Linked DNA regions of Pelodiscus sinensis. The protein of the gene in region 1 purifies or fractionates together with the protein of each later gene. This does not show direct contact. Links are inferred from orthologs where the notes say so. Each region holds a gene or a part of one and is shown in the gene's direction. Other genes may lie near its edges. The genes, in order: MAPK7 and PFDN5.

What was found.
Region 2: the proteins of MAPK7 (region 1) and PFDN5 purify together in Homo sapiens (affinity purification with mass spectrometry; 3 studies listed by BioGRID and IntAct, with this or other methods). This does not show direct contact. The link is inferred for Pelodiscus sinensis from reciprocal best matches to the Homo sapiens genes MAPK7 and PFDN5.

Annotation. Positions count from the first base shown.
Region 1 is NC_134714.1:134,155,567-134,170,669, forward strand, and holds the start of MAPK7 (mitogen-activated protein kinase 7), read left to right. Parts: upstream 1-7,688; 5' UTR 7,689-7,836; intron 7,837-8,489; 5' UTR 8,490-8,504; coding exon 8,505-8,718; intron 8,719-8,949; coding exon 8,950-9,115; intron 9,116-9,597; coding exon 9,598-10,718; intron 10,719-12,290; coding exon 12,291-14,005; intron 14,006-14,160; coding exon 14,161-14,288; intron 14,289-14,758; coding exon 14,759-14,912; 3' UTR 14,913-15,103. Other genes in the region: E3 ubiquitin-protein ligase TRIM69-like, read right to left, coding at 1,931-2,472, 2,977-3,101, 3,200-3,222, 3,377-3,610, 4,714-4,809, 4,913-5,311. UniProt on the Homo sapiens protein: Plays a role in various cellular processes such as proliferation, differentiation and cell survival. The upstream activator of MAPK7 is the MAPK kinase MAP2K5.
Region 2 is NW_027465863.1:2,894-17,893, reverse strand, and holds PFDN5 (prefoldin subunit 5), read left to right. Parts: upstream 1-7,314; 5' UTR 7,315-7,400; coding exon 7,401-7,472; intron 7,473-8,084; coding exon 8,085-8,187; intron 8,188-8,788; coding exon 8,789-8,820; intron 8,821-9,776; coding exon 9,777-9,851; intron 9,852-10,797; coding exon 10,798-10,903; intron 10,904-11,009; coding exon 11,010-11,089; 3' UTR 11,090-11,348; downstream 11,349-15,000. Other genes in the region: ESPL1 (separin), read left to right, coding at 185-355, 431-535, 905-1,020, 1,210-1,293, 1,722-1,886, 2,256-2,457; uncharacterized protein LOC102448630, read right to left, coding at 13,784-14,655. UniProt on the Homo sapiens protein: Binds specifically to cytosolic chaperonin (c-CPN) and transfers target proteins to it. Binds to nascent polypeptide chain and promotes folding in an environment in which there are many competing pathways for nonnative proteins.

The DNA of each region.
Region 1 (15,103 bases):
TTACAACATTAGCAGATGCCAATCGAATTCTTCCAAGCCTAGTTGAGAATTAGGTCACATAAAATTAAAAAAATCAAAATGAAACAAGCAAACAAAACATTGAAATGCCCTGATCTGATCCCCCCCGTATCCTGCTCCCGGAAATGTCATCCCAGTGTTTCCATGGCATGCTTCCCCACACAAACATATTCCCTCTTTGGAAAATGCCCCACCAGCTGTAGCCAGGAGCAGCTTTACTTGTGAACACTCACCCAGCCGTGTTTGTCACACTGTCGTTTCACGGTGTAGCCGCAAGAACAGCTGATCTGCAGTTGGCGTTCAGGGTCCCACTGCAATACCTTGGCTGTGTCTGGACTGGCAAGTTTTTCTGCAAAATCAGCTGCTTTTCCGGAAAAACTTGCCAGCTGTCTACACTGGCTGCTTGAATTTCCACAAGAACACTGACTTCCTAGTGTCTGAAATCAGGGCTTCTTGCGGAAATACTGTGCTGCTCCCGTTCGGGCAAAAGTCCTTTTGCGCAAAGCTTTTGCGCAAAAGGGCCAGTGTAGACAGCTCAGATTTGTTTTCCACAAAAAAGCCCCAATCGTGAAAATGGCGTTCGAGGTTTTTTTTGCGCAAAAGCGCGTCTAGATTGGCCACGGACGCTTTTCCGCAAAAAGTGCTTTTGTGGAAAAGCGTCTGTGCCAATCTAGACGCTCTGTTCCGCAAATGCTTTTAACGGGAAACTTTTCCGTTAAAAGCATTTGCGGAAAATCATGCCAGTCTAGACGTAGCCTTCTGTTCTTGTCCTCAGGGTGAGTTCCCCAAGATGCCCCTTATTTCCAGTCTGAACTGGTCTGCCATTGGTTCCTGTTAGACCATGGGTTCCCAAACTGGGGGGTGTGCCCCCTGGGGGGCGTGAAAAAATTCCAGGGGGGGCACGAGGCAACCCAGACGCACCCCCCCCCCCGTCAATCCCACTTTGAATTTTGCTGCTATGTTTTTGGGAGTGGGGGTGTGAGGGTTCCTCAAAAATCAAAAAGAGGGCACGATGCCGAAAAGTTTGGGAACTGCTGTGTTAGGCCTGTGTCGGCCAGGCTGGACAGCCACTGATCACTGTTCTGCTCCTGCCTGAGGTGTTTACAGAGCACGACCAAGTCACCCTTTAGCCCTCTGTGCTCCTGGAACTAGCCAGAGCTCCGGGAATCTCTCTCAGGCAGGCTGCCCGACCCATTGACCCTTCTCACGGCTCTTCTCTGCCCCCTCTCCGATCCATCACTGTCCTTGAGTGGGGGCCCCGGAACTGGACACAGGACCCCAGCAGCAGGGCCCCAGTGGGAATCACCTCTCAGCTCCTACTCACCATTCCCGTGTGTGCCCCCAGGACCACACTAGCTCTTCCGGCCACGGCGTCGCGCTGGGAGCCAGCATTCCCTGGAAGCGGGACGCAGGAAAAATTCGAATACTGCCTAGCTGGTTAGCAGGATACCCACCGCTAGGTTGGTGTTTCTCCTGGTGGTGCACATCTTCACACACTGCGGTGCACATAACAAAATTTATTCTACACAGATGGAAAAAATCCGCGCATGGGTAGAAAAGAGTAGAGGAAACATTGGGGGTTCGTGCTGGGTTGCATGTCCATGAGGATCTTGTTGGAGTCCCTGCTTGGCAGGGTGCAGTCTGGCCTTGTGCTCCGTTCCTTCTTGCTTCGGAGAACCAAACAGCTGGCTCTGACGAGTCTGAGGATGATGGCCATTCATCAATAATCCATTGTCTGGCTCAGGGGGCTGGGGAATGGATCACAGGGCCTGACCCCTTTAGGGGCTCCAGCTGCCAGCTGGCCCTTGGGCAGAGGCTTGGCTGGCTCAGGGGGCTGGGGAAATGGGACAAGGGGCCTTTCCCTGCTAGGGGGCACCAGCTCCGTCTGGCCCCGGAGCAGGGTAAGGCTGACTCAGGGCAGGGGGCAGATTTTCAGGGGGGTAGCATTCCCCCCCGAATCATACAGCCCGGGGCAGAAATAGGGATACACTCTCTCTGCAAAGCACGCGCTGAAGGTATAGAGGTGGGACATGCTGTGGGCGTCGTAGAAGGAAACCTGGCCCCCTTCGTAGTCCAGGTAGACCCCGATCCTGTGGGGCAGGTTCTGGGGGCGGAGCACCACTGGGGGCATGTCCTTGGCCATGAGCTCAGTCCCGCCCCGGAGCCGAATGACCCAGAAGCCCTTGCTGGGGGAGGCCTGGATCTTCCCCTTGCGGTTGATGGAGGCATGGACCACGCCCAGCGTCCACGCCTGCTTCTCCCCAACCTCCACCTCCCAGTAGCACCTCCCGGAGGCGAACGCCGCCGCGCCCAGCACAGCCACGCAGAAATCGAAGCGGGCGGGAGTGTCGGGGAGGGGCCGGCGGTGGTGTCCGTCCCGGACCCGGGTCCGATCCTCTGAGAGAACCAGGCAGGGATGAGCCGTGGTGGGATCCAGCGTCACCTGCGGCAGATCTGGAGAGGGACAAGAAGGGGGTGGGGGAGGGAGGGTTAAATCGAGGCCCCCTGCAGCACTGAGCTGCTGAGGGCCAGCCCTGCCAGCCAGGGGAGAGCGCCCCCTGCTGAGCCCTGCCCCACAGCGCCCCCTGGCACCACCCTGGGGCACTGGGCCAACCCAGAGCGCTCCCCGCAGGTCCCCTGCAGCACAATGCCCCCTAGTGCCACTCTGGTGCACTGGGACAGCCCTGCCTGCCTGGGGAGAGCGCCCCCTGCTGGGCCCTGCCCCACAGCGCCCCCTGGCACCACCCTGGGGCACAGGGTTAGCCCTGTCTGCCAGAAGACAGCGCCCCCTGCTGGTCCCCTGCAGCACAGTGCCCCCTAGCACCACCCTGGTGCATTGGGCCAGCCCGGGGAGAGAGCCCCCTGCTGGGCCCTGCCCCCTCCCTGCCCCACAGAGCCCCCTGGCACCAGCCCTGCCTGCCAGGGGAGAGCACCCCTTGCTGGGCCCTTTTCTCTTACCGATGCTGAGGATGGATTTCATGTCCTTCCAGGCAGTATACTGGATTGGCCCTTTAAACTGCCCCAGGATCTGCCACATGGACCCTGTATTTGGCCCACGAGGCGTAGCCAGATGCTGCTTCGCCCTGTATAAGGGGGGAGAACCGCCCCGGCCACAGCGTATTAGGGACTGAGCAATGGGGAAGGGGGTGTGGGGAGGGACCAAGGAACGCGGCGGACTTACCAGGTCAGGAAGGATTTGATGTCCTGTGAGGGACGGACACAGAGAGAGAGAAGCAATAAGTATAGCTCTGTCTCTTTAAGGCCCTGTGTGGGACTTGGGGCGCCAGCTCCGGGGACTCCCTGCGTGGGGTGGGGAGCAGACACGGGGCTCTTCCACACTAGGGGGCGCTGGACTCACCGTCAGGAACTCCGCAACGTCCCCTTGGGGCAGGGGGCCCTGGGTCTCCATGAGCATCTCCCGCGCCGCGTGGCATTTCCCCTCCAGCTCCTGCAGGTTCCTCTCCAGCGCCCGCAGCTGCCTGCTGCCCGCCTGCCGCAGCCCCACCTGCCACTGCTCCTCCCGGGCAGCCAGCCAGCCCCGCAGCTTCCCGAACTCCGCCGAGATGTGATCCCCCAGGCCGAGCACCGTCGCCTGGAGAACAGGGACCCGCCCAGTGCCCAGAGGATGCAGCGGGACCAGCACCCCAGGAGCTAGCGCTCCCAGGTACCTGCCTGCATCCTGCTCACCCTCTCTGGGGACCCAGCAGCCCACGTGCTTGCTAATACAACCCCCAGGCACCTCGAGGTTACACTGGAGTAATATTCCTCCAGCTACTCGAGTATCCAGCAGCTTCTACCTAACTACTCTCTGTGGCTACTACTGTCTGGCCCCCGGCTCTCGAGATCCTTCTGTAAGTCATCTCCACTGCGGACCAGGTAACTCCATGCGCAGCGCCAGGCAAACACGCAGAAAGCTGGGAATCGTTAAGAAAGGGAGCGAGGATAATCCAGGGTACAGCCCCATCTTGAATACTGTGTGCAGATGTGGTTGCCTCACCTCAAAAAACTACCTTTGGCATGGGAAAAGATTCAGAGAAGGGCAACAAAAATGCGGAGGGGTTTGGAACGGGTCCCATATGAAGAGAGATTAAAAAGACTGGGGGGGATATGACAGAGGTCAATAAAATCAGGACAGGTGTGGAGAAAGTGAGCAAGGAAAAGTTCTTTACTGGCTCCCATAACATCAGAACTAGGGGTCATCCAATGAAATGAACAGGTAGCGGGTTTAAAACAAACCAAAGGAAGTTTTTCTTCACGCAGGGCGCAGACAACCTGTGGAACTCCTCGCCAGAGGATTTGGTGAAGACCAGGACTTTAGCAGGGTTCAAAAAAGAGCTAGATAGATTCCTGGAGGTTAGGTCCATCAGTGGCTACTAGCCAGGTTGGGTAGGGATGGGGTCCCTGGCCTCTGTTTGTCAGGAGCTGGGGAGGGAACACTTGATGCTTCCCTGTTGTGTTCCCTCCCTCCGGGGCCCGGCCGTCAGCCCACTGGGTGAGACAGGCCTTTGGTCTGACCCCGTCTGGCCATTCTGCTGTTCTTATCTCCCAGCGATGGGAAAACTCAAGTCTCTGGCATAGTCACAGATACCCCCAGCCCTGCCCTTCACAGCTACTCGGCCCTGCTGGCCCCCAGAGCCCATGTGGGGGGGTGGGGGGTCCAGGCTCCTGCCCTTCCCGCCACCCAGCCCCAGGTACCTGGTGGTTCCAAATCCTTTCTTCCACCTCCCTCTTCAGCCGCAGGAGCTGAGCGAGGCTGGACTCCAGCTGGGCTTCAGCTGAGGCCGGCTCTTCCTACAGGGCAGGAAACAGGCTGGAGGTGAGGGTGGGGGATCACAGGCCAGAGCCCCCACACTCCCCCCAGAGTGGGGGACAGAGCCCAGGTTCCCCGTCTCACCTGGTGCTGTACGGTGGCCTGGTGGGTGGGGTTCTCGTGCGTGGCTGGTCCCCCGCGGATCTCCCTGCTGCATTCTCCCTCCATCTTCCGGGGTTCGTTGTAGCCCTGGCCCCTGCCCTCTGGGCGCACCCTTTCCCCTGCCCCACCAGGGCTCACCCCCCTGGCCTGGTCAATCAGCTTGCCCAGCAGCCTGCAGGGGGCATATCTCCGGTCGGGGCAGAGCTCCCGGCATTCAGGGCAGGCTGGAGGGACCCCCATGGTGCCCCACGCTGTCTCGATGCAGCCCTGGCAGTAGGTGTGGCCGCAGGGGAGCGTGACGGGAGCCCGCAGCCAGTCCAGGCACACAGGGCAGGAGAACTCCTCCGAGAGACAGCCCAGTTGGGGGGGATTGGAAGCCATGAGGGGCAGATCCTGGCTCCCCCTGTTGTAACTACCAGGCCCCACTGCCCTCCCTGAGCCCGGGAGAGAGCCCAGGAGCTGCTGTGTGCTGCGTCCACAGGGAAACCCGGGGAAAGGTGCGGCCAGCTGGGTGACAGGTTAGGTTTGCTCTGCGCTCGGTGAGTTTATCACCCACAGGGGGTGTGCCTGGGAGCAGGGCCCAACACACCCAGCCAGGGAGCGATGCTCAGAGATAGACAGGCACAGGCACACGCACAATCGCTCTCCCCCACACATGCTGACAGCCAGAATTACACCCACACCGAGGCCACAGACACACACACACACACACACACACACACAGAATCTCTTTCTCTCTCGCACAACCACCCCCGAATGGCCAGAAATTTGATACACGCACTGAGCTGGACTCATTTCTCAGCCTCGCAGGAGGCAGCCCGGCTCTTAGCCCTGCCGAGCAGGGCAGGTCTGAGGGGAACACACTGTGCTTACCCACCCCAAAATCTAGGGGCGACATTTCACCCTGAGGCTGGGGGCCCAAAGACCCCACTAACTCCCCTCTCCTAGGGCGGGGGGGCAGAGCGGCCAGACAGGGACAGACCAAAGGTTCAGCTAGCCCAGTGTTGCCCGTTCCAAGCCCCTGGCACAGAGGCCAGGGACACCCACCCTGCCCAGCCTGGCTAGTAGCCATTGCTGGACTCAGCCTCCATGGACTCACCAGGAGCCCTTGTGTGCCCTGTCACGTCCCCTGCCCTCCCCAGGCTCCAGTGGGATTGTCACTCCCAGCCCCACCCGCCCCACAGCTGGAGGCAGAACACAGGAGTCCTGGCCCCCAGCCCCCCCCGCTCTAACCACTATCCCCCACTGCCCTCCCTCAGCTAGAACCCAGGAGTCCTGGCCCCCAGGCCCCCCCGCTCTAACCACTATCCCCCACTGCCCTCCCTCAGCTAGAACCCAGGAGTCCTGGCCCCCGGCCCTCCCGCTCTAACCACTATCCCCCACTGCCCTCCCTCAGCTAGAACCCAGGAGTCCTGGCCCCTGGCCCTCCCGCTCTAACCACTATCCCCCACTGCCTTCCCTCAGCTAGAACCCAGGAGTCCTGGCCCCCGGCCCTCCTGCTCTAACCACTATCCCCCTCTGCCCTCCCTCAGCTAGAACCCAGGAGTCCTGGCCCCTGGCCCTCCTGCTTTAACCACTATCCCCCACTGCCTTCCCTCAGCTAGAACCCAGGAGTCCTGGCCCCTGGCCCTCCTGCTCTAACCACTATCCCCCACTGCCCTCCCTCAGCTAGAACCCAGGAGTCCTGGCCCCTGGCCCTCCTGCTCTAACCACTATCCCCCATTGCCCTCCCTCAGCTAGAACCCAGGAGTCCTGGCCCCTGGCCCTCCTGCTCTAACCACTATCCCCCACTGCCTTCCCTCAGCTAGAACCCAGGAGTCCTGGCCCCTGGCCCTCCTGCTCTAACCACTATCCCCCACTGCCTTCCCTCAGCTAGAACCCAGGAGTCCTGGCCCCTGGCCCTCCTGCTCTAACCACTATCCCCCACTGCCCTCCCTCAGCTAGAACCCAGGAGTCCTGGCCCCTGGCCCTCCTGCTCTAACCACTAGCCCCCACTGCCCTCCCTCAGCTAGAACCCAGGAGTCCTGGCCCCTGGCCCTCCTGCTCTAACCACTATCCCCCACTGCCTTCCCTCAGCTAGAACCCAGGAGTCCTGGCCCCCGGCCCTCCTGCTCTAACCACTATCCCCCTCTGCCCTCCCTCAGCTAGAACCCAGGAGTCCTGGCCCCTGGCCCTCCTGCTCTAACCACTATCCCCCACTGCCCTCCCTCAGCTAGAACCCAGGAGTCCTGGCCCCTGGCCCTCCTGCTCTAACCACTAGCCCCCACTGCCCCTCCAGGCGCTGTTCGAACACTCTCAGCCTCTCCCCTACAAAGGGCTGCCTGGCCCTTTAAATTCCCGGCCCTCCCCGCCCCCCGCCTCGCCCACTGTTGCGATCTGATTGGATAGCAGTAATGAGGAAGTAATCGCTGATTGGCTAGAGGGAGTAAGAGGGATGTATAAAAAAGACGAATCAGTTTTCTTTCTGACTGGCTGCTCGGTCCATCTATCCCTAAGAGAGGGCGGGGTTTAGGGAAGACACTCTCTTTCTGATTGGCTGGGAACCACTCTGTGATTGGTCAATCCCTGCTAAGCGGTGGCGTTTCGGTAAAAATCGCCGTCGCCCTGCTCCTCTACTCTGATTGGCTAATTTCTCAAGAAGCTAGCCCGTGATTGGCCACGCCTTGGGAGGGCGGGAATTGCGTAAGGAAGCCCTCTCCCTCGCGCGATTGGCTCATCCGCCAGAGAGTGGGCGGGACTTGGAGCCGCCCGGCCCCTGCGCGCTTCTGCGGGTCTCGCCCCTTCCTCCGCCGTGATTGGCCGGGCGGGCGGGGCGACGCCACATCCGGGCATTCGGGGCAGGCGCTGGGAGCGGCGGACCCGAGGGGGAACCGGCCCGCGGTTGGGGAGGCGCGGGGCGCGAGCTGGTGAGAGAGGCCGCGAGGCCCCGCCCCCTGGGGAAACCCCGCCCCCAGCGGCCCTCGGCCCCTCCGCGAAGGGGAGAGAGTCTCTGCCCCATGACGCCCCGCCCCTCCGTTCCAGGCCCCGCCCCCGGCTTCCAAGCCCCGCCCCTCCCTTCCAGGCCCAGTCACATGGCACCCACTCCTGCCCCGCCCCGCCCCCTCCCTGCCAAGCCCCGCCCCTCCCTTCCAGGCCCCGCCCCCGACTGCCAAGCCCCGCCCCTCTCTTCCAGGCCCCGCCCCTCCCTGCCAGGCCCAGTCACATGGCACCCACCCCAGAGACACTCCTGCCCCGCCCCCGCCCTGCCAGGCCCCGCCCCCTCCCTGCCAGGCCTGGTCCCATGGTGCCCAGTCCCCAAGACTCCTGCCCCATCCCTACCTTGTCAGGCCCCGCCCCCACCCTGCTGGCTCCGCCCCTCCCTGCCAGGCCCCGCCCCCCTCCCTGCCAGGCTCCGTGCACTGTGACCCCACCCTCTCCTAGTTCTCTCTTCCCCTCCCCCACCACAGCTGATTGAGGCCCTGTACCCCCCCACCCCCCGTTGCCTGCACCACCACTCCCGGATGCCTGGGTTCTCTCAGGGAGCCTCTCCCTGATCTCCCCCTGCCCGGCCTTCCCTCAGCAGGGGGCAGGCACCATGGCAGAGCCGCGGAAGGAAGAAGAGGAGGAGGCGGAGGAGCGGGACAAGCGGGAGCCGGCGCACCGGGCCACCGTAGCAGCCAAGAACTTGGCCATCCTCAAGGCTCGCTCCCTCGACGTCACCTTCGAGGTGGGGGACGAGTACGAGGTCATCGAGACCATCGGCACCGGAGCTTACGGCGTGGTCAGCTCCGCCCGGCGCCGGTCCACAGGTCAGCTCGGACCCAGCCGCACTCCTGGGAGGGGCATGGGGGCTCGTGGGTTAGAACGGGAGGAGGGCTGGGAGGCAGCACTCCTGGGTCTAGTCACAGCCCTGGGAGGGGAATTAGGCCTAGAGGGGTCAGAGTGGGGGGCTGGGAGGCAGGACTCCTGGGTTCCATAGGGGAGGGCTGCGCAGGGGATGGCATCTCTACTCTGACCCTCTCTGCTCTGGTTCCCTCCAGGCCAGCAGGTGGCAATCAAGAAGATCCCCAACGCCTTCGATGTGGTGATGAACGCCAAGCGGACCCTCCGCGAGCTTAAGATCCTCAAACACTTCAAGCACGACAACATCATCGCCATCAAAGACATCCTGAAACCCGCGGTGCCTTATGATGACTTCAGATCCGTGTGAGCGCCCGCCCCGGATCCTGTCCCTAGCTTTGGGAGGGGAGTAGGGTCGCCAGGTGTCCGGTTTTGAACCGGACAGTCCAGTGTTTGAGCTTTCTGTTCGGGAAACAAATTGAGACACTAGAACTGGCTGGTATTTTCTAAATAAGATGGAATGTAGGTTGTGATGTAATGTCAAGTGTGTCCATTTGGCAACCCTAGGAGAGTGGCGTACGGGGCTGGGAGCCAGAGCTCCTGAGGCCTATCCCTGGTCCTGGGAGGGGAGTGCGATCTAGTGGTTAGAGCTAGGTGGGGTTGGGAGCCAGGACTCCTGGGTTGTCTCCCCGGCTTTGGAAGAGGTGGGGTTGAGCAGGGAGACTTGTGCGGGGGCCTAGACCTCTGGGGTCTCTAGGGAGGGGTGTTTAGTGAGTGAACGTGAGGGTGGAGCTGGCAGCTAGGACTTCTGGGTCCTCTTCCCCACTGACCTCCCCACCCCCTGGCAGGTACGTGGTGCTAGACCTGATGGAGAGCGACCTTCACCAGATTATCCACTCCTCCCAGCCCCTCACGCTGGAACATGTCCGATACTTCCTCTACCAGCTGCTCCGGGGTCTCAAGTACATCCACTCGGCCAACGTCATCCACCGCGACCTGAAGCCCAGCAACCTGCTCATCAACGAGAACTGCGAGCTGAAGATCGGGGATTTCGGCATGGCCCGGGGGCTGTGCACCAAGCCGGACGAGTACAAATACTTCATGACCGAGTACGTGGCCACGCGGTGGTACCGGGCCCCGGAACTCATGCTCTCCCTGCATGAATACACGCAGGCCATTGACATGTGGTCCGTCGGCTGCATCTTTGCCGAGATGCTGGGCCGCAAGCAGCTCTTCCCCGGGAAGAATTACATCCACCAGCTGCAGCTGATCATGACGGTGCTGGGCACGCCCTCCGCCAAGGTGATCCACGCCATCGGGGCTGACCGGGTACGTGCCTACATCCAGAGCCTGCCCTCCCGCCAGCCGGTGCCCTGGGAGACCCTCTACCAGCAGGCCGACCGCTCGGCCTTGGCGCTGCTGGCCAAGATGCTGCGCTTCGACCCCCGCGAGCGGATCACCGTGGCCGAGGCCCTCAAGCACCCCTTTGTGGCCAAGTACCACGACCCGGACGACGAGCCCGACTGCGTGCCCGCCTTCGATTTCGACTTCGACAAGCAGGTCCTCACCAAAGAGCGAATCAAGGAGGCCATTGTGGCCGAGATCCATGACTTCCATGAGCGCCGCGAAGGGATCCGCCGGCAGATCAGCTTCAAACCCGCCCTCCGGCCGGCCGATGCCACCCCGCCCGCTGCTGCCCCCTTGCGCTGCCAGGACGTGGACATGCCCAGCGCCGGATCCACTGGGGGAGACTATGCCATGGAGTCGCCAGCCCCCGTGGAAGTCCCTTACCCTCCGGAGACCATAGACCTGACCTCGCCTGGGGCTCCCCCCAACCTCGAGGGGCCGGCCGAGGTAAAGGCTGAGCCGGAAGCCTTGCCACCGAAGAGGGAGGGGGCCATCTCGGACGACACCAAGGCGGCGCTCAAGGCCGCGCTGCTGAAGTCGGCGCTGCGCAATAAGAACAAAGGTGAAAGGCTGGGATGTGGGAAGGGAGTGAGGTCTAGTGGTGAGAGCAGGGCGGTGGCGGGGGCTGGGAGCCAGGAATCTTGGATTCTGTTTCTGATTTTCCTAGAATCAGAGATGTAGAGGACTGGAAGGGACCTCAGTAAGGGTATGTCTACACTACCCTCGTTTCACGAGGAGTAACGGTAGTTCGGAATAGGCACCCTAGTCCGAACTACCTAGTTCGAGCCCCGTGTAGCCACGCTACACGGGGTTCGAAGCAGCGGGGATTTAAAAATGGCGGCTCCCCGCTTATGCTAATGAAGCCCGGGAAATTCAAATCCCGGGCTTCATTAGCAAGTGCGGTATGCATACATTACCCCGCTAGTTCGAACTAGCGGGGTAGTGTAGACATACCCATAGTTATCTGGGCCATTCCCCTGCCCTAACGGCGGCTGGTAGGTGATTGTCTAACCTGTTGTTAAAAACCTCCAAGATGGAAATCCCACAGCCTCCCTAGACACTCTGTTCCGGAGCATAACCACCCCGGCAGGAAATCTGTCCTGCTTTCCATTCCAAACTGCACTTGCTGCAATTTTAGCCTGTTGCTTTTTGTCCTATCCTCGGAGGTTAAGAAGAACACATTTTCATCCTCCTTGTAACAAGCTTGAAAACTTATTCTGTCCTTCTCAATCCTCTTCTGCAGACTCAAGAAAACCAGGTGTTTTTTCAATCTGCCCGCACAGGTCATGTTTTCTAGACGAGCGATCATTTTTGTTGCTCTCCTCTTGACTTTCTCCAGTTTGTCCACATCTTCCTTGAAATGTGGCACCCAGAACGGGACACAGTACGGTCTGGAGTGGAGCTGCTTGTGTCTTGCACCTGCTTATACTCCCCAGAATGATGTTTGCTCACAGTGTTACTCTGTTAACGCTTATTTACTTATGGCGCATTATGGCCTCCAGATTCTTTTCTGGGGTAGTTCTTCCTCGGGTCCCAGTTTGGATGTGTGCACTTGATGCTTCCTAAGAGGGATATTTTGCATTTGTTTGTACAGCCTCTCCCCGAGTGACGAACGAGTTACGCACCAAACACTGGGCCGTAACTGGATCCGTTCGTAACTCGCACCCCATTGAGTTACACGCGACCGCGCTGTTCGTACGCGCGGGTTGCGTCCGTAACTCGGGGACCGCCTTTACGACCGCTCCATGGGAGCTTTGGTCGTAAGTGCGAACGGTCGTAACTCCATCGTTGGCTCCCCAAGAGCACAGGGCGGACAGGTGGCCATGCTCTGGTTCCCCAAGAACACAGAGCTGGTAGGTAACAGAGGCTTGTGGGCTGGTCACATGCTCTGGTACCCGTTACTTGCAGGGTGACCGAATTGTCCACACAGGAAGGCTCACCAGGTGTGGGCCATGCTTCTTCTATGGGCCACTCCCCCCCCAATGGCCCGTTACCCTGAGGGGGCCCTTCCCAGCCAGCTGTCTAGGTTGGACGCCTCTGGCCTCGCGCGTCAGGAGTGAGGGGCACCGGCAGGGCTGGGGGTGATGCCCGGGGCTGCCGGGAGCGAGCTGACTCCTCTGTGCTTTGTTCCCAGACACCCTGAGCTCCGTCCCTGAGCCCCTGGACATGAGGAAGCCGGTGACGGCCCAGGAGCGGCAGCGGGAGCGGGAGGAGAAGCGCAAGCGGCGGCAGGAGCGGGCCAAGGAGCGGGAGAAGAAGCAGAAGGAGAAGGAGCGCAAGGAGCTGCGGCGCGGCGACGTGCTGGGCGGGTTGGTGCTGAGCGAGAACGACCGCAGCCTCCTGGAGAGATGGACCAAGATGATTGACCGGAATCATCAGAAACTGGCTCTCAATGGGCCCATGGATCACGCCCCAACCACGCCTGGCAACCTTGTTCCTGCTGGCCACGCCCCGGCCACGCCTGTCGGTCCTGTACCAGCCACGCCTGCTGGCCACGTTCCACCGGGAGCCACTGGTCATGTTCCACCAGGGGCTGCTGGTCACCTCCCAGCCACACCTGTTGGCCACGTTCCACTGGGAACCACCAGCCACCTCCCAGCCACGCCTGCCAGCCACGTTCCACCAGGAGCTGCCAACCACCTCCCAGCCACGCCTGCCGGCCACGTTCCACCGGGAGCCACCAACCACCTCCCAGCCACGCCTGCCGGCCACGTTCCACCAGGAGCCGCCAACCACCTCCCAGCCACTCCTGCCGGCCACGTTCCGCCGGGAGCCACCAACCACCTCCCAGCCACGCCTGCCGGCCACGTTCCGCCGGGAGCCACCAACCACCTCCCAGCCACGCCTGCCGGCCATGTTCCGCTGGGAGCCACCAACCACCTCCCAGCCACGCCTGCCGGCCACGTTCCGCCGGGAGCCCCCAGCCACCTCCCAGCCACGCCTGCCGGCCACGTTCTGGGAGCCACAGGTCACGTTCAACTGGCAGCCACTGGCCAACTCCCAGCCATGACTGCAGGTCATGTTCCGCTGGGAGTCACTGGCCATCTCCCAACAACTTCTGTCGGTCATGTTCCACCAGGACCCACCGGCCACCCTCCAGCCACGCCTGCTGGCCACCTTCCACTGGGACCTGCTGGCCACCTCCCAGCCATCCATGCTGGCCACCTTCGACCAGGAGCCACTGGCCACCTTCCAGCCACCCCTACTGGCCACCTTCCACCGGGAGCCGTTGGCCACCTCCCAGCCATGTCAGCTAGTCACATGGCTGCGACGTCGGATTTCTTGAGCTTCCCTGAGAAGGCGCCAGCCGGCGGTGGCGCTAAACTCACTGTGCTGCCTATGACTGCAGACCCAGCCAGTGGCCCCGCTCCCAACATGGTGCAGTACTTCCCGGCCCCGCCCGGCCCCTTCCCTCCAGTTCTCGTGGCCTCCACGGCTTGCCACAAAGCTTTGTCGAAACCTGAGTGCCTTCTGAGCGTCAAATACGCCCCGGGCCAGATCTTCCAGGCCCCCTTCGGCTTGGCATGGCCTGGGGCCCAGGGCCCAGAGAACTGGCCCATGGCCGGGAGGCTGGCACCCGGGGAAGGCCCAACGACCCCTAACGGGGCACAGCCGCAAGAGGGGCCGTCGAGCCGCCCCCTGGGCAGCCTCGTGCCCCCAGGCAGGGAGGGCGTGGGGTTGGACCCGGCCGTCTTCCTGCAGGAGATGGGGAAGAGGACCCCGGAGCCAGCGGTAGGAGGCGTCAAAGGGCCCAACCAGCACCCGGTCGCCACAGCCCCGTTGCCGGACACTGTCCCCACGGAGTCACCGGACATCACCATGGTTACGCAGCAGCTCTCCAAGTCGCAGGTAACGGGGCCTTTCCCTTTTAAGGGCAGCGCCTCAGATCCGTCGAGGTGGGCCCGGATGGGGCCGCTCCGTCTCTGCCGGGGAGCCGATAAGCGGGGGGGGGAGAGATGGGCGCCCGGGGGTGCCAGGCTCACTGTGTCTTGCTGCCATCACAGGTGGAGGATCTCCTGCCGCCCGTCTTCTCGGTGACCCCCAAGGGCAGTGGAGCGGGCTACGGCGTGGGGTTCGATTTGGAGGAATTCCTCAATCAGTCCTTTGACATGGCGGCGGAGAACAGGGACAGGTGAGCCCTCCCTGCTGCGCGAAGCCGCTAGAGCCGCTGCCGGACATCCTGCTCCCCAGCCCCCCCACTGCGTTAACCCTGTAGGTCCATTCATCCGAGTTCTTCAGCTGCCCCCCACTTTCCATAACTTGCACCCCCTGGTCAAACTACATCTCCCATGATGCCCCATGGCTTCCCTCTGGCTGAGCTGCTGCAGTGCATCATGGGAGTAGTAGCTGGGTTATCTCATTCTGTCCTCTGAGCCGGGCTCCCTCATTGGACTGGCTGGGGAGCCCTACCCACAGTTAAGCTTTCCCAGGGAGCTCCTGGGGCATCCTGTCAGACTACAGCCCCTGAACTACAACTCCCATGAAGCTCTGCAGCATCACTAGGTCCCTGGGTCACAGGTTCCAGTCCTTCCTGGGGGCTCACGGTGATTAGCTGCTCAGCCCCGCGTCTGTCTGATCTGTTTTTTCTTCTTCCTCCCCTAGCCAGGGCGATTCAGCCCCTCTCTCTGCCTCCCTGCTGGCTGACTGGCTGGAGGTGCATCGGATGAACCCAGCCGATATGGAATCCCTCCAGCAGGAGCTGCAGCTGGGCTCTCCCATGATCCTCTCCGACATTCCCGACCTCCAAGATGCCTGAGACTGAGACCCCAGCCCCTCTGCGCCGTCTCTCCTCATGGGGGCTGCGGGTGGGGTCAGGAGCAAACCCCTCTTCCCCTCCCTCTGGGGTCAGGATGGGCTGAGTCAAGCAGCAATTAGACGCTCCTGTCTCCTGCTCGTGTGGGTCCGTTGCTGGTTCGCCTGCTGCCCCGACAGTCTCACATGAAGCAG
Region 2 (15,000 bases), on another chromosome or scaffold:
GCAGGGAGATGTGGCTGGTCTAGCGTTAGCCTGCTGAGTTGAGCCTGTGACTGGTGGGAAGGGAGCCAGGTCTCCACTAATGGGACCTGACCTCAGGAGAGCACGTGGGTCCCATGGGGGGGTTTGAGGTGTTGGTCCCACTTCTGGCCCAGTCGCTCACGCCTCAGTCTCTCTCTCCCCTCAGCTCGTGTTGACCAGCGCTCACCTCCTCACCCCCCAAGACGTGCAGTGCCTTGCGTCGGGGCTGTGCCCAGCACAGCCGCATGCCGCGCAGGCCCTGCTGCAGGAGGCGCTGGACAGGGGGAGATCCCGCAGCGGGCAGGCGAGTGGTCACCTGGTTCTTGTGCTGGACAAGGTTAGTGGTGGCCTCCCCAAAGCATGTCCCTGCCAGCCCAGCCCCTGGCTCATCGGGTGTCTCTCTCCTCTCCAGCACCTGCAGAAGCTGCCCTGGGAGAACATGCCCTGCTTGAGAGCCCTGCCAGTGACCCGGCTACCCTCCTTGCGCTTCCTGCTCAGCTACACCCTTGCCCAAAGAGTAAGTGGGGGTGAGGCGGGCCAGGCTGGGACAGTGGGTAGCCCCTTTGGGCCCTTCCTCGGGATGGGGAAATCCCCTTCCCCCGTCCGACCTGCTCGACTTACTGAGCTTGAGAGATCCAGGCAAGAGGAGCAGTGGCCCCCTCCCTGCTCGCTGGAGGGGCTCTGAGGTGCCCTGGGGCAAGTTCCAAGTGCTGTGAGCCAGGACTAAGTTCACATGGCTGGACGGGGCACTGCCCAGTGCCCTGGGTCCTGGGGTGCTGTGGCTGCCCACACGGATCCTCTCCAAGATCTCAGCCTGTGCCTGGGGCTCTGTAGGATGCTGCACCTAAGGGGGGAAGTAACACGTCTCGGGGGGGCCTCATTTCAGCATCAGCCAGGGTCTGTCCTCACCCGCGGGGTGAACCCCAGCAATGCCTTCTACGTCCTCAACCCTCACGACAACCTGCCTGGGACAGAGGAGCGCTTCCGAGCCTGGTTTGAGAGGTGGGTGCGTCCCTGCCTGTGTGCCCAGTGGGGAAGGGTTAATCTGCCCACCTCAGACGGAGACGTGTGTCCCCTGAGGCCTCAGCAGGTGCCCGCAAGGGGCATTGCTAAGCCAGGCCATGGGAGTTTGCCTGTCACTGGCAGGGCGGCGGGCGCCCTGCTCTGTTCTCACTCGGTGTCGTCTCACAGCGAACCCGGCTGGAGCGGGGCGACAGGAGCAGTCCCAAGCCAGGAGCAGATGCAGTCGGCTCTCACGGAGCACGATCTCTACATGTAAGTGTTGCTGGCGGGTTGGGGGCCACCTACAAGCCAGCGGGACATGGGTCTCCAACGGTGGGTGGAGCCAGCAAGCAGGGCGAGTCCCTCTCACAGATGTGCACCTCAGACTTCTGGGTACCATTGCCAGCTCCCCTGCTCCCCACTCTGAGGTCCAAGGAGACCCCTCTGCAGGATGCTGCTGCCGATGGGTTTCTGTAGTGGCAAGTGGCACTCTCCTGTGTAAAGGACAAAGCGTAATGATCCTGAGGGATGGGGTGCGCCCAGGGGAACAGTAGCAAGGCACCCCATCGGGCCATGGCTGCAGAGCATTTGTCCTGCGAGTCAGCCTCACTGGAGGCCAGGGAGCTGCGTGGGAGAGCAGTGACCCCAGCTGTCACCAGATCCCCTGCCGTGCTGGGCACTAACCACAAACTCTGCCTTAGCTACGCCGGGCATGGAGCAGGGGCTCGATTCCTGGATGGCCATTCGGTCCTCAAGCTGGACTGCCGTGCTGTGGCCCTGCTCTTCGGCTGCAGCAGTGCTGCCCTGGCCCTCCGTGGCAACCTGGAGGGAACCGGTATCATCCTCAAGTACATCATGGCGGGATGGTGAGTCTCCCCCCCCGGCCCACGTGGCTTTAGAGCTGTGTGTAAACCAGGGAGGTGCGAGGGTTGGAGGGCTCCTTCCTGACCCCTGTAGAGGCTCAGTTTGGACCCTGAAACATGAGGTCTGGTCACCCTGGCTGAGCTCGTAGAACTCCATCTGCTAATGGCCATAAATCAACATCTCTAATCCCATCACAGCCTCCCACTCTGCTGCCTGAGGCCAGTGCAAGCTTCCCTCACTCACTCACCACACACATCTAATTAATAGCAGGGAGAGGGTTAGGAACTGAACTACCCTCTTTGTACTTAGGCCAGACATGGCTATGCTGGGTGAAGGTACCGGCTCCAGCCCTGTGTCTGTTCCCTTTACAGCCCCTTGGTGCTGGGAAACCTCTGGGATGTGACTGACCGAGACATCGACCGCTATATGGAGGCACTTCTCCAGAGCTGGCTGAAGTCAGGACCAGGTGCTCCTCTCCTCCAGCATGTTGCCCAGTCCCGCCAGGCCCCCAGACTCAAATACCTGATTGGTGCAGCCCCCATAGCCTATGGCTTGCCTGTGATTCTGCAGTGAGACCCCTGTCCAAGGCGTCATGGGACTTGGATCATAAAGGAGATCCAGCACCTGACCTCTGCCTCCTCTGGACCAAAGCTCCTCTGAAAGTGCCTTTTGTTCAGATGCAGATTTTCAGCCTTGTCTGTCTGATCTCGGCAGACAGCCCCTGGTTGGCTTCTCATAAGGACTTGTGGATGGATGATCTCTTAAGGTTCACTGTGGCACATTTAAACAGCTGCAGTGTCTTGGAGTGGCTGGTCTGGGAGAAGAATCGTATGCATGTAAATTGTCAAATCTGTATGAATAAGTTATTTTAATAAAAGTACCTGAGTTTTTATATTGTAAACTGCCGTACAAGTGTTATGGTCAACTGAAATAAAGCTGGTGGAGCCATAGCCTTGAATCATGTGGCTTTCCTGGGCCCCAGGGCAGGCAGACAATTCACTCCTCCACTTCTGACCTAAATCGAAATGGAACCAGATTGCTAGTACTTAACATTAAAAAGGTCGTAGAGCAGTTTTTAAACTAAAGACTGGGGGAAAGCCAATATGATTCTAGGTTGTATCAACAGGTGTGTTGTAAGCAAAACTCGTGAAGTCATTCTGCCGCTCTACTCTGCACTAGTTAGGCCTCAGCTGGAGTACTGTGTCCAGTTCTGGGCGCCACATTTCAAGAAAGATGTGGAGAAATTGGAAAGGGTACAGAGAAGAGCGACAAGAATGATTAAAGGTTTAGAGAACATGACCTGTGAAGCCAGGCTTCATGAACTGGGCTTGTTTAGTTTGGAAAAAAGAAGATTAAGGGGGGACATGATAGCGGTTTTCAAATATCTAAAAGTGTGTCGGAAGGAGAAAATTTGTTCCTCTTGGTTTCTGAGGACAGGACAAGGAGTAATGGGCTTAAAGTGCAGCAGGGGAGGTTTAGATTGGACATTAGGAAAAAATTCCTAACTGTCAGGGTGGTCAAATATTGGAATAAATTGCCAAGGGAGGTGGTGGAATCTCCCTCGCTGGAGATATTTAAGAACAGATTAGATAGTCATCTGTCAGGGATGGTGTAGACGGAGCTTGGTCCTGCCTTGAGGGCGGGGGGCTGGACTCGATGACCTCTTGAGGTCCCTTCCAGTCCTATTATTCTATGATTCTAGGTGTGGAGAAGCACATGGATTGGACAGAGATCTATTGGGGAGGCTATATTAATAGAGATGTTCTAGTCAGGAGGAGATGATGGAAGTATGGGTCAGGTCAAATGAGACAATCAAATGAAAGAGTCTAACATCAGGAAATGGCAGACATAAATAGTGACAAATTATTAAAGTGCTTATATGTAAATGCTAAAAGTCTAAAGAGTAAAATGGGTGAACTGGAGTACCTAGTTTTTAAAGGAGGATATTGATATAATAGTCATCATGGAAATTTTGGTGGAATGAGGACAATCAATGGGACACAATCATACGAGGGTACAAAATATATTGGAAGGACAGAGCAGGTCATACTGTGGCACTATATGTGAAAGAAAATGTAGAATCAAATGAAGCAAAAAATCTTAAATGAACCAAAATGTTCCATAGAATCTTTATGGACAGTAATTCCACGCTCCAATAATAAGAATATAGCTGTAGGGATATATTATCAGGACCGTGATAGTGACTGAGAAATTCTGAGAGAGACTAGAGACGCTATCAAATTAAACTCAATGGGTGTGTCTAGACCGGCAAGTTTTTCTGCAAAAGCAGCTGCTTTTGCGGGAAAAACTTGCCAGCTGTCTACACTGGTCGTTTGAATTTCCATAAGAACACTGACTTCCTACTGTTGGAAATACTATGCTGCTCCCGTTTGGGCAAAAGTCCCTTTTGTGTAAAGCTTTTGTGCAAAAGGGCCGGTGTAGACAGCTCAGATTTGTTTTGCACAAATGGCAATCGGGGCTTTTTTGCGGAAAAGCGCATCTAGATTGGCACGGACGCTTTTCTGCAAAAAGTGCTTTTGCGGAAAAGCGTCCGTGCCAATCTAGATGTTTTTTTCTGCAAATGCTTTTAATGGAAAACTTTTCCATTAAAAGCATTTGCGGAAAATCATGCCAGTCTAGACATAGCCAATAATAGCTGGGGTCTTCAACTATCCCTGTATTGACTGGGTACACATGACCTCAGGATGGGATGCAGAGATAAAATTTCTTGATCCATTAAATAACTGCTTCTTGGAGCAGCTGGTTGAGGAACCCACAAGGGGAGAGGCTATTCTTGATTTAGTCTTAAGTGGAGTTCAGGATCTGGTTCAAGAGGTAAATATAACTGGACCACCTGGAAATAGTGACCATACTGTAATAAAATTTAACATCCCTGCAGTGGGAAAAACACCTCAGCAGCCCAACACTGGCATTTAATTTCAGAAAGGGGAACTACACAAAAATGAGGAAGTTAAACAGAAATTAAAAGGTACAGTGACAAAAGTAAAATCTGTGCAAGATGCATGGAAACTTTTCAAAGACACCATAATAGAGGCCCAACTTAAATATATACCCCAAATTAAAAAACAATAAGAGAACCAAAAAAGTGCCACTGTGGCTTACCAACCAGGTAAAAGAAGCAGACACAGATGAAAAAGATATCTTTTAAAAAATGGAAGTCAAATCCTAGTGAGGAAAAATAGAAAGGACCATAAACTGTCAAATTAAATGTAAAAATATAAGAAAAGCCCCCAAAGAGTTTGAAGAACGGCTAGCCAAAAACTCAGAGTAATAGTAAAATGTTTAAGTACATCAGAAGCAGGAAGCCGGCTAAACAACCGGTGGGGCATTTGGATGATCGAGATGTTAAAGGAGCCCTCAAAGATGATAGTTGTAGCAGGGAAGCTGAATAAATTCTTTGCTTCAGTCTTCGTGGCTGAGGCTATTGGGGAGATTCCCAAACCTGAGCCATTCTTTTTAGGTGAGGAAATCTGAGGAATTGTCTCAGATTGAGATGTCATTAGAGGAGGTTTTGGAACAAATTGATAAACTTAATACTAACAAGTCACCAGGACCCGGATGGCATCACCCAAGAGTTCTGAAAGCACTCAAATGAGAAATTGCAGAACTAGTAACTGTGGTTTGTAACCTATCCTTTAAATCAGCTTCCGTACCTAATGATTGGAAGAGCTAAGGTGACACCAATTTTTGGTGACACCAATTTTTAAAAAGGGCTCTAGAGGTGATCCTGGCAATTTCAGGCCAGTAAGTCTAACGTCAGTACCAGGGAAATTAGTTGAAACTATAGTAAAGAATAAAATTGTCAGACGTGAATGAATATAATTTGTTGGGGGAAAGTCCATGTGGTTTCTGTAAAGGGAAATCATGCCTTACTAATCTGCTAGAGTTCTTTGAGAGGGGTCAACAAACATGTGGACAAGGGTGATCCAGTGGATGTTGTATACTTAAGATTTCCAGAAAGCCTTTGACAAATTCCCTCTCCAAAGGCTCTTAAGTAAGTTGTCAAGGGATAAAAGGGAAGGTCCTTTTGTGGACTGATAACTGGTTAAAAGACAGAAAGCAAAGGGTAGGAATAAATGGTAAGTTTTCTGAGTAGACAGATGTAACTAGTGGGGTCCCCCAAGGGTCTGTCCTGGGCCCCATCCTATTCAACTTATAAATTATCTAGAGAAAGGGGTAAATAGTGAGGTGGCAAAACTTGCAGATGATCCCAAACTGCTCAAGATAGCTAAGAGTGTGAAGAGCTTCAAAAAGATCTCACCAAACTAGGGGATTGGGAAACAAAATGGCAAATTAAATTTCATGTTGATAAATGTAAAGTAATGCACATCGGAAAACATAATCCCAACTATCTATACCATATGCTGGGGACTAATTTGGCTATAACTACTCGAGAGAGATCTTGGAGTCATTGTGGCTAGTTCTCTGAAAACATCCACTCAGTGTACAGCGGCAGTGAAAAAAGCAAATAGAATGTTAGGAGTCATTAAAAAAGGGATAGAGAATAAGACAGAAAATATCCTATTGACTCTACATAAAACCATGGGACGCCCACATCTTGAATACTGTGGCCAGATGTGGTCGCCTCATCTCGAAAAAGATACATTGGCATTGGAAAAAGTTCAGAAAAGGGCAACAAAAACGATCAGGGGTTTGGATCCCATATGAAGAGAGATTAAAAAGACCTGGACTTTTCAGCTTAGAAAAGAGGAGGCTAAGGGGGGGGGGGATATAACAGAGGTCTATAAAATCACAACTAGTGTGGAAAAAGTGAATAAGGAAAAGTTATGTACTTATTCCCACAATAAAAACTGGGAGGGGGTGTCCTAATGAAATTAATAGGCAGCAGGTTTAAAACAAACAAAAGGAAGTTTTTCTTTACTCTGTGCACAGTCAACCTGTGGAACTCCTTGCTAGAGGATTTAGAGAAGGGGGAGAGAGGCTTTAGGCCACTCTCAGGGCAGCAGAGAGCCCCAGCATGAAGCCCCCATGGCTGCCTCTCTGCAAAGCTCCTTGCTGAGCTCCTGTAAGCAGCCTGGATGTTAAGTGACAGGTGGTGGAGCTGTGCAGACCCCAAGAGCAGAGGCTGCCCCTTCTGGGGGGTTATCCAGCCTGGACAGGCTAAGGCCTGTGCAAACCAGACTGACTCCACTGGCACCAGCAGGCGCTGCTGTTCTGACATAGCCCTGGGGCCGCCTTGCTGGGCCAAGCAACTCCCCTGCAGACCTGCTGCCCACGGGGAGCCTGGCCCCGCCCCGCCATGGCAGCCGGAAGTAGGCGGAGCCTAGCTCCCCGCCATGGCAGCCGGAAGTAGGCGGAGCCTAGCCCCGCCCGGAGCAATGGCAGCCGGAAGTAGGCGGAGACTACCCCCCCGACAATGGCAGCCGGAAGTAGGCGGAGCCCCACAGTGCATGGGCGGGCCGAAGGAACCATAGAGTCCGGCTCGCGCAGGCGGCTTCCGGCCCAGAGCGTCTCCCCGGCCCGCGCTCCCCAAGATGGCGCAGCAGGTGAACATTACGGAGCTGGCGCTGCCGCAGCTCGAGCTGCTGAAGAACCAGCTGGACCAGGTCAGGCCCCGCCCCCCCGCGAGACCCCCCCCCGGCCCCGCCTCCCCCGGGGACTCCGGGAGCGCCCCTCCCCCCCGCGAGACCCCCGGCCCCGCCTCCCCCGGGGACTCCGGGAGCCGCCCCTCCCCCCCGCGAGACCCCCGGCCCCGCCCCCCGGGGACTCCGGGAGCGTCCCCCCCTCCCCCCCGCGAGACCCCCGGCCCCGCCCCCCGGGGACTCCGGGAGCGTCTCTCCCCCCCCCCCCCGCGAGACCCCCGGCCCCGCCCCCCGGGGACTCCGGGAGCGTCCCCCCCCCCGCGAGACCCCCCCGGCCCCGCCCCCCGGGGACTCCAGGAACCGCCCCCCGCGAGGCGCCCCCCTCCCGCGAGACCCCCCCGGCCCCGCCCCCCCAGGGGCCTCCGGGAACCGCCCCCCGCGAGGCGCCCCCCTCCCGCGAGACCCCCCCGGCCCCGCCCCCCCAGGGGCCTCCGGGAACCGCCCCCCCGCGAGGCGCCCCCCTCCCGCGAGACCCCCCCCCCCCCGGCCCCACCCCCCAGGGGCCTTCGGGAGGCCCCCCCGCGAGACCCCTCGGGAGCCGCCCCAGGAGCCCCCCTGAGCCGCGTGTCCCCCCAGGAAGTGGAGTTTCTCTCCTCCTCCCTCGCCCAGCTCAAGCTGGTGCAGACCAAGTATGTGGAGGCCAAGGACTGTCTGAGCGTGCTCCGCCGCAGCAACGAAGGTGGGTGCCGGCCGCCCCCTTCCCCAGGGGAGCCCCCTTGGCCCTAGGCTTCCCCCCCCCCCGCTGCCCTAGGGTCCGTCTGTCCCATGCCCCAGGGGAGCCCCCTTGGCCCTAGGCTTCCCCCCCCCCGCTGCCCTAGGGTCCGTCTGTCCCATGCCCCAGGGGAGCCCCCTTGGCCCTAGGCTTCCCCCCCCCCCCCCCCCGCTGCCCCAGGGTCCGTCTGTCCCATGCCCCAGGGGAGCCCCCTTGGCCCTAGGCCTCCCCCCCCCCCCGCTGCCCCAGGGTCCGTCTGTCCCATTCCCCAGGGGAGCCCCCCCTTGGCCCTAGGCTTCCCCCCCCCCCCCCCGCTGCCCCAGGGTCCCCTCTGCCGACAGTAGCCAGCACCAGGTGTCCCAGAGGGGTGGACCGAAGACAATGATCAAGCGATTTGTCTCCTGCCATCCCTCTCCAACCTCCGACACACAGAGGCCAGGGACACCATTTTATCCCCTGGCTAATAGCCTTTTATGGACCTCACCTCCATGCTGCTGTTGGGAGGGGGCCCCGTGCTGTGGGGCAAGGGAGGGTTTGGGTAATAACAGGCATTTCTTTGTCTCTCCAGGCAAAGAGCTGCTAGTTCCACTCACCAGCTCTGTATCCTTTCCTCACCATTGTGCTCCTGCTCCTGACTCTCCAGTGTGATTCTCTCCCCAATGGGACACTGAACCCTTGTGCCCCAGGACGCAGCCTGCTCTGCCTTGGGTGCAGCCAGCAGCTTAGGGTTGAACGTTTCCAGTCAGTGGGCAGGAGGCTGGGAACAGTCACTGGGACCCTTTTCCTTTGTCACTCATCTAAGCCCTGCTGGACTGAAGCTGCTCCTGTGAAACTGGTCTGTGCTGTTCCATATGGCCGGCCGGCCACCCACGTCCCAGCTGGCTCGTTGCCAGAGGGGAGTAGGCCAGTAGAGGGGAGCTCACCTCTAACTCTGCGGGGGGGCTGCACTGGGGCACTTGTCCAGCTGCTGGTCTTGTGCCTGCTCTAGGAGTGGACGGAGCTGCTAGTGCCCCACTCAGTCCTTGCTGGGCCAGTGGGTTTTCCAGTGCTCTTGGCGTTTCCTGCTGGCCCTGGGTTGGGCTTCTCCTTGGGCCAAGCAGCACCGAAGGGTCTGGGGACTGATCGGATCTTTGGATGCCTATTGAAATTGGTTCCCCTCATCCCCAGGCGGCCTGCCCAGTTCATACTAGCAACGTGGTCCAGTGGGTAGGGCACAGGCCTGTGACTGTCTAGTCCCCGCTGTGTGAGCTCGGGTGAGTCACTTCCCATCCCCCCTTCTCTGCCTCCTTTGGTTAGACTGAGCGCTCTCCAGGACAGAGACTCTCTCTGCATGTTGGTACAACGGAGTCCTGCCGCTGCAGAAGCCTCGTGTAACGGTGCTTTACGCGGAAGCCCTGGACGAACTGTCCTCTGCGCTGAAGGAGCTCGGTTGATTTCTACCCGTTCCGGATCTGGCCCTCTTGCGGGTAGTGTGAGGCTAAGCTGCTATCCCCATAACCTTCTTGCTCTTACGGTTCCCCTGCTGGTCCTGTCTTTTCCTTTGACCTCCCTGGCAGATGTACGTCCCCGGGAAGCTCTCTGATGTTGGCCATGTGCTGGTGGACGTGGGGACGGGCTACTATGTAGAAAAGGTAGGAGGCGCTCTCATAGTGGGTTGACCCATGAGCAGCATTAGACAGGGAGTGGCAGAAAGCGCTTTACCTACTTATAAAGTGGTTGGACTCTTCCCCACTCCAGCCTCTTTGCATAAATCATGCTCACAGCTGGAGTGCAATTCTGCCCTGGGACAGAGAGGAGTGACTGCTAGCAGGTGAGGTTAGTGCGCTGCAGTTCCCTGCTCGGGGCTTGGGTTCATTCCCTTAGCACTTTCCCCTTTGAGACAGTGCCATCAATTTCTATCTTGTGGGGTGCTGAGGGGCTGTTGAACAGCTCTTATGTTACACCCCAGAGGTGGCTGCATTTCAGAAACAGGTGATACCTGGATGCACTGACAGCTGTGATGCTTCATTAGTTAGTGCAGGGGTGGGGGACCTGTGGGCCTGGCTTACCTTGATCCGGCCAGTGGCGAGGCATGGGGCCTCCCCTGCAGCGGGGCAAGCCAGTGCTCACGCTCCAGCCTTGTGGCAAGTCTCCAAGCCTCGGCGCCCCTCTGCGGGGCTGGCACATGAGTCACCCAGTAGCAGGGCAACCTAAGTCCCGAGCCTCAGCATCCCTCATGGGGCTGGAGCGCAAGGGGAGCTCCAGTGCCCCAAATTGTGTGAGGTTTTTGCTTCATGTGGGGTATTTGGGGGTTTTTTTGCTTCTCTTGTGGGTGGTTCCGGATTTTTCTGTGGGTCGGTGGCCCCCAACTAAAGGATGGTTCCCCACCCCCAGTATAGAGCTCTGAGTTCTCTGATGGAAGGTGCTGCCGAAAGGCCAAACATGCTATTGCCTGAGCAGCCCAGTCTTGGAGCAGTTTGCTTACTCTGTCCTGTGCGTCACTTCCTTGTCCCTGCACTTCAGGCAGGGGGTAAAGCCCCTCCCACGGTGCCTGCCTGTCCTGAGGGTGGGCATGTCATGCTCCCATCCCTCTTGCAGACTGCAGACAATGCCCGCGATTTCTTCAAGAGGAAGATTGATTTTCTGACCAAACAGATGGAGAAGATTCAGCCGGCGCTGCAGGAAAAACACACCATGAAGCAAGGTAGGGACCTTTCTCTGGGGCGGTGCCCACCACTGGCACCACCTGTCCTTAGCTGCGAGAGGCCCTCAGCCATGTGCTGTCACTGGCTGTGTTCTTTCCCTTGCAGCTGTGATGGAAATGATGAGCCAGAAGATCCAGCAGCTAACAGCCACGGGGGCGTCACAGGCTGTGGCAACAAGGGCATAGCCTGTGGCATCCGTCCCCAGCCCCATGGGCCCTACACGCCGCGGTGCTGCACTTGGACTGAGGCATTTTGTTCTGTTACAAGCAGAGTCTTAAAATCACCGAGGAAGCAGCTGGAGCTGAAACTGCCTGGCCCCAGCCGCCAGGAGGCATCTGCTCTCTGTGCTGGTGGCTGTTACACATGCGCAGCCTGGGGGGCTTTCCCCTTGTGTATGCGGCAGGTGATCTCCCTGGGAGAGAAATTAAACAGTTGCTGACTGGGCTTGGCCACCTCTGGTGAGAAATACGCAGGGTCTGGGCAAAGGAGCTGTCCAGCATGGGGTGCAGCCCCTTCCAATCCAGGGGAGGCTCTTGATGGGGGTGGGGGGCTCTGGGCTGCTGTCTCTACCCTGGCTTCTGTGCCCCTTTCGCAGCACAACTTGGGCCCTGGCAGGACAGGGAGGCAGCAGGCGGGTGGTAAATTCGGGCTGCACCCTTCTTGCATGGGGATCCCCCAAGGCAGTGGGTGAGGCAAAGCTCTGCTAGCTACCTGTGTCCCACCTCGTGTGCAGGCCTTGGGCTGAGGGTGGCCAGCCAGGTTCAAGCCCTACTGGAAGCAGGCAGCCCTGGCCAGCTGCTCAGTGCTGGTTCTCACCCCACACCCAGCTGTTCTGAGGAGGGGGAGTCTGTCCTGCATTGCCACCCATGCTGAGGATGGGTTCAGCGCTAGGGCCCCTGCATGCAGCTCATACAGCTAGGATGGGCAGAGTGGCCTGGCACCTGGCTTCCCCCAGGAGGTGCAATTGTCTCCCTTGGTGCACTGCTGTAATTTGGGCACCACTCTTCCTTGCTGCGTTCGCACCTCGGGTAATGCCCCTGCCCAGAGCGCTGGTCAGCCCTCAGCTGGGGTGCTGTGTCCGTTTCAGGAAAGTGATGGAGCAATTGGAGAAGGGCTGGAGCACGAGCTAGCAGGGAAGACGGAAAGAATTGGGCTGGTTTAGTTTGGAAAGGAGAAGACAGAGGGGCCACGACAGCGGTTTTCAGGGATCTAAAAGGGTGGATCAAGGAGAAGGGGGAGAGTCGTTCTTGGGCTCTGAGGCCAGGACAAGAGCAATGGGCTTTAGCTGCAGCAAGGGAGGTGGTGGGATCTCCATCACTGGGGCTATTTAAGAGCAGCTTGGATGGACCTGCCAGGGATGGTCTCTGGTGCTTGGTCCAGCCGTGGGGGCAGGGACTGGACTCAGTGGCTGCTCAAGGTCCCTTCCAGTTCTGGGATTCTATGCTGCTCTAGCTTAAAGCCACCTGCTGCTGGGGGCAGGGCAACTGAAGGGCTGGCCCCTGAAAGTCCAGCTGGACTACAGCAGAGACACACCAGCAGCGGCTTCTTGCCGAGTTTCCTTCCCAGGCAACCAGGCTGAGCTGCAGCATTTACGTTCTGGCAGCTGCACCTGGGTTCTAGTCCCCTCGGCCCCCACAGCTCAAATGCCCGGGGCTGCTGGCCTCCGGGAAGCCAAGCCCTGGGTTTGAGTAAGATGTTGCTCCTGCCACGGCGCAGGCGGGGAGAGCCACTTGCCCCCTCTGCCCATCATGCCCTGGGACTTCCTGAGCGGCCAGAGGCAATTTGCAGTGTAGGGCCTGAGTTTTACCAGGTGCAGAGCGCCAGGGCTTGTGTTGGGCATTAGCCACTTGTGAAACCTCAGGCCCCCTCGCAGGGGGCAGCCCCCAGCCCTGCCTCCCCCGGGAATGGAGACCGGTCCGATCACATGTATGTACTGGGGCAGCCCCTGCAAGGGGCTAAGCCACTCGGCATGGTGGACCTGCCCTGGAGCAGGCCCAGGTGGCTCCCTTAGCAAACACGACCTTCCTCCTCCCCAGCCAGGTGCCTTGCACTGGGTCACCAAGTGGCTTTCCCCTGCGGGAGGGAACACAGCACAGTCTGTCTCTGTCACCACCCCCGGAGCACAAGTCCTTTCCCCTGCGGGAGGGAACACAGCACAGTCTGTCTGTCTGTCACCACCCCCGGAGCACAAGTCCTTTCCCCTGCGGGAGGGAACACAGCACAGTCTGTCTGTCTGTCACCACCCCCGGAGCACAAGTCCTTTCCCCTGCCAGCACCCCCAAGCAGAAAGCTGGCGGGTGGGGGGAACAAGCAGCTCCAAGGCTCTTTAAGGGGACCAACACCCCTTGAGCGCTTTTAGGCCAGGACACCCCAAACAGACGCATGGCGCCTTTTCCTGCCCACCAAGCCCCAGCCACACAGGAGCCACACCCCTAACAGCAGAACTTTATTCTATGCAGGAGGCACCTCCTCAGCCACAACAGACAGCCCCTGGCCTCGCCTCGGATGGGTGGTGCCTTGCGGAGTATTATGGCTTCTACCGTAAACATCTCCCCCCACCCCGTCCCTCCCCTCCGTATGTACAGCTACACACGCCGACCCCCGGGAGTTTTCTGAGGTCTGCGCTCCAAGACTTTGACCACAACGGTGATACCAGGGATGGCCCTGTGCCGTGCGCCACGAGACAGCCACGTGACCTGCATGGTACGCTGGGTGCTTGTCAAGAATGTGGAAGGTCACATGACCGTGGGTGGCCATGTTCAGTGATGCTGCAGATGGTCCCATGATGGGCATGGAGCGGGCGCTGCAGCCAGCCACATGCCAACCCCCGTTAAGTGCTTCTTGATCACCGTGCTCAACCCCACCCCCGCTGGCCCGGCTCAGTGCCTGCGCTCAGCGCACGAAGAGGGGCTTGTGGACCCTCTTGTGCCGGTTGAGCGTGGCACTCCTGGCGAAGCTTTCCCCGCACTCCACGCAGATGTAGGGCTCGTGCCCGTGGGCATCAGCCCGGTGCCGCTCCAGCTCCGTGCTCTCGCGGAAGGCCTGGCCGCACTCGGGCAGGCCTGGCTCTGGCGGGCGGCGTGCAGCCGCTGGTGCTTGAGGAGGTTAGTGCTCTGGGTGAAGCCACGGCCGCAGTCGGGGCAGCGGTGGGGCCGGGCACCTGAGTGGGTGCGCTGGTGCTTGATGAGGTTCTTGCTCTGGGTGAAGCTCTTGCCGCACTCCCCGCACTGGTAGGGCTTCTCGCCTGTGTGGATGCGCTGGTGCTGGATGAGGTTGGAGCTCCAGCTGAAGCTCTTGCCGCAGTCACTGCAGCGGTAGGGCTTCTCGCCGGTGTGGGTGCGCCGGTGCTGCACCAGGTGCGAGTTCTGGCTGAAGCTTTTGCCGCACTCGCTGCAGGTGCTGGGCCGCTCGCCGGTGTGAGTCCGCTGGTGCCGCAGCAGCTTGGACCAGTGGCTGAAGCTCTTGCCGCACTCGTTGCAGATGAAGGGCCGCTGCCGGCCGGCAGCACCACGGTGCCGCACCACCATCCCCCCCTCTTCCTCCTGCCCATCAGCCAGCTCCACCAGCTCCCCGCCATAGCCAGGGGGCGGCCCGGCCGGGCTCTCCGGCCCCCGGCCTCTGGGGCTGCTCCCATCCGCTCTCTGGGGAGCCTTCTTCTTGGGCTTCTTGGCCAGCGGACTGTGGGGGACCACGGTCTGGATGATCTGGTGCTGCAGCTCCCCCTCGCTGTCGCTCACAATGCCGTCGTCGGCTGGAAGGCAAAGGAGAGCCAGGCACAGCTCGGAGTGGCACAGACACAGCCTAGGGCTGAGCACTGCAGAGCACCCCGTGGGATCCGGGGTCCTGTTGTCATTAAAACTCCAGCAACTGGGTACTTGGACTCCCCAGCAACGTCTCCTCTCCCCCCCCGTCCTCAGGGCGCTCCAGGCAGATGCCCCAAGCTTCCCCTCAGCCCCACCCCAGCAGGCGCTAAGCTGGGGAGACAGCAGGGACCCACGGACGCACGAGAACCGGATACGAAGGTGTATTTACAGCCCAGAGCCTCCCCGTGTGTGTGTGTGTGTGTGTGTCTCTCTCTCTCACACACACACACACC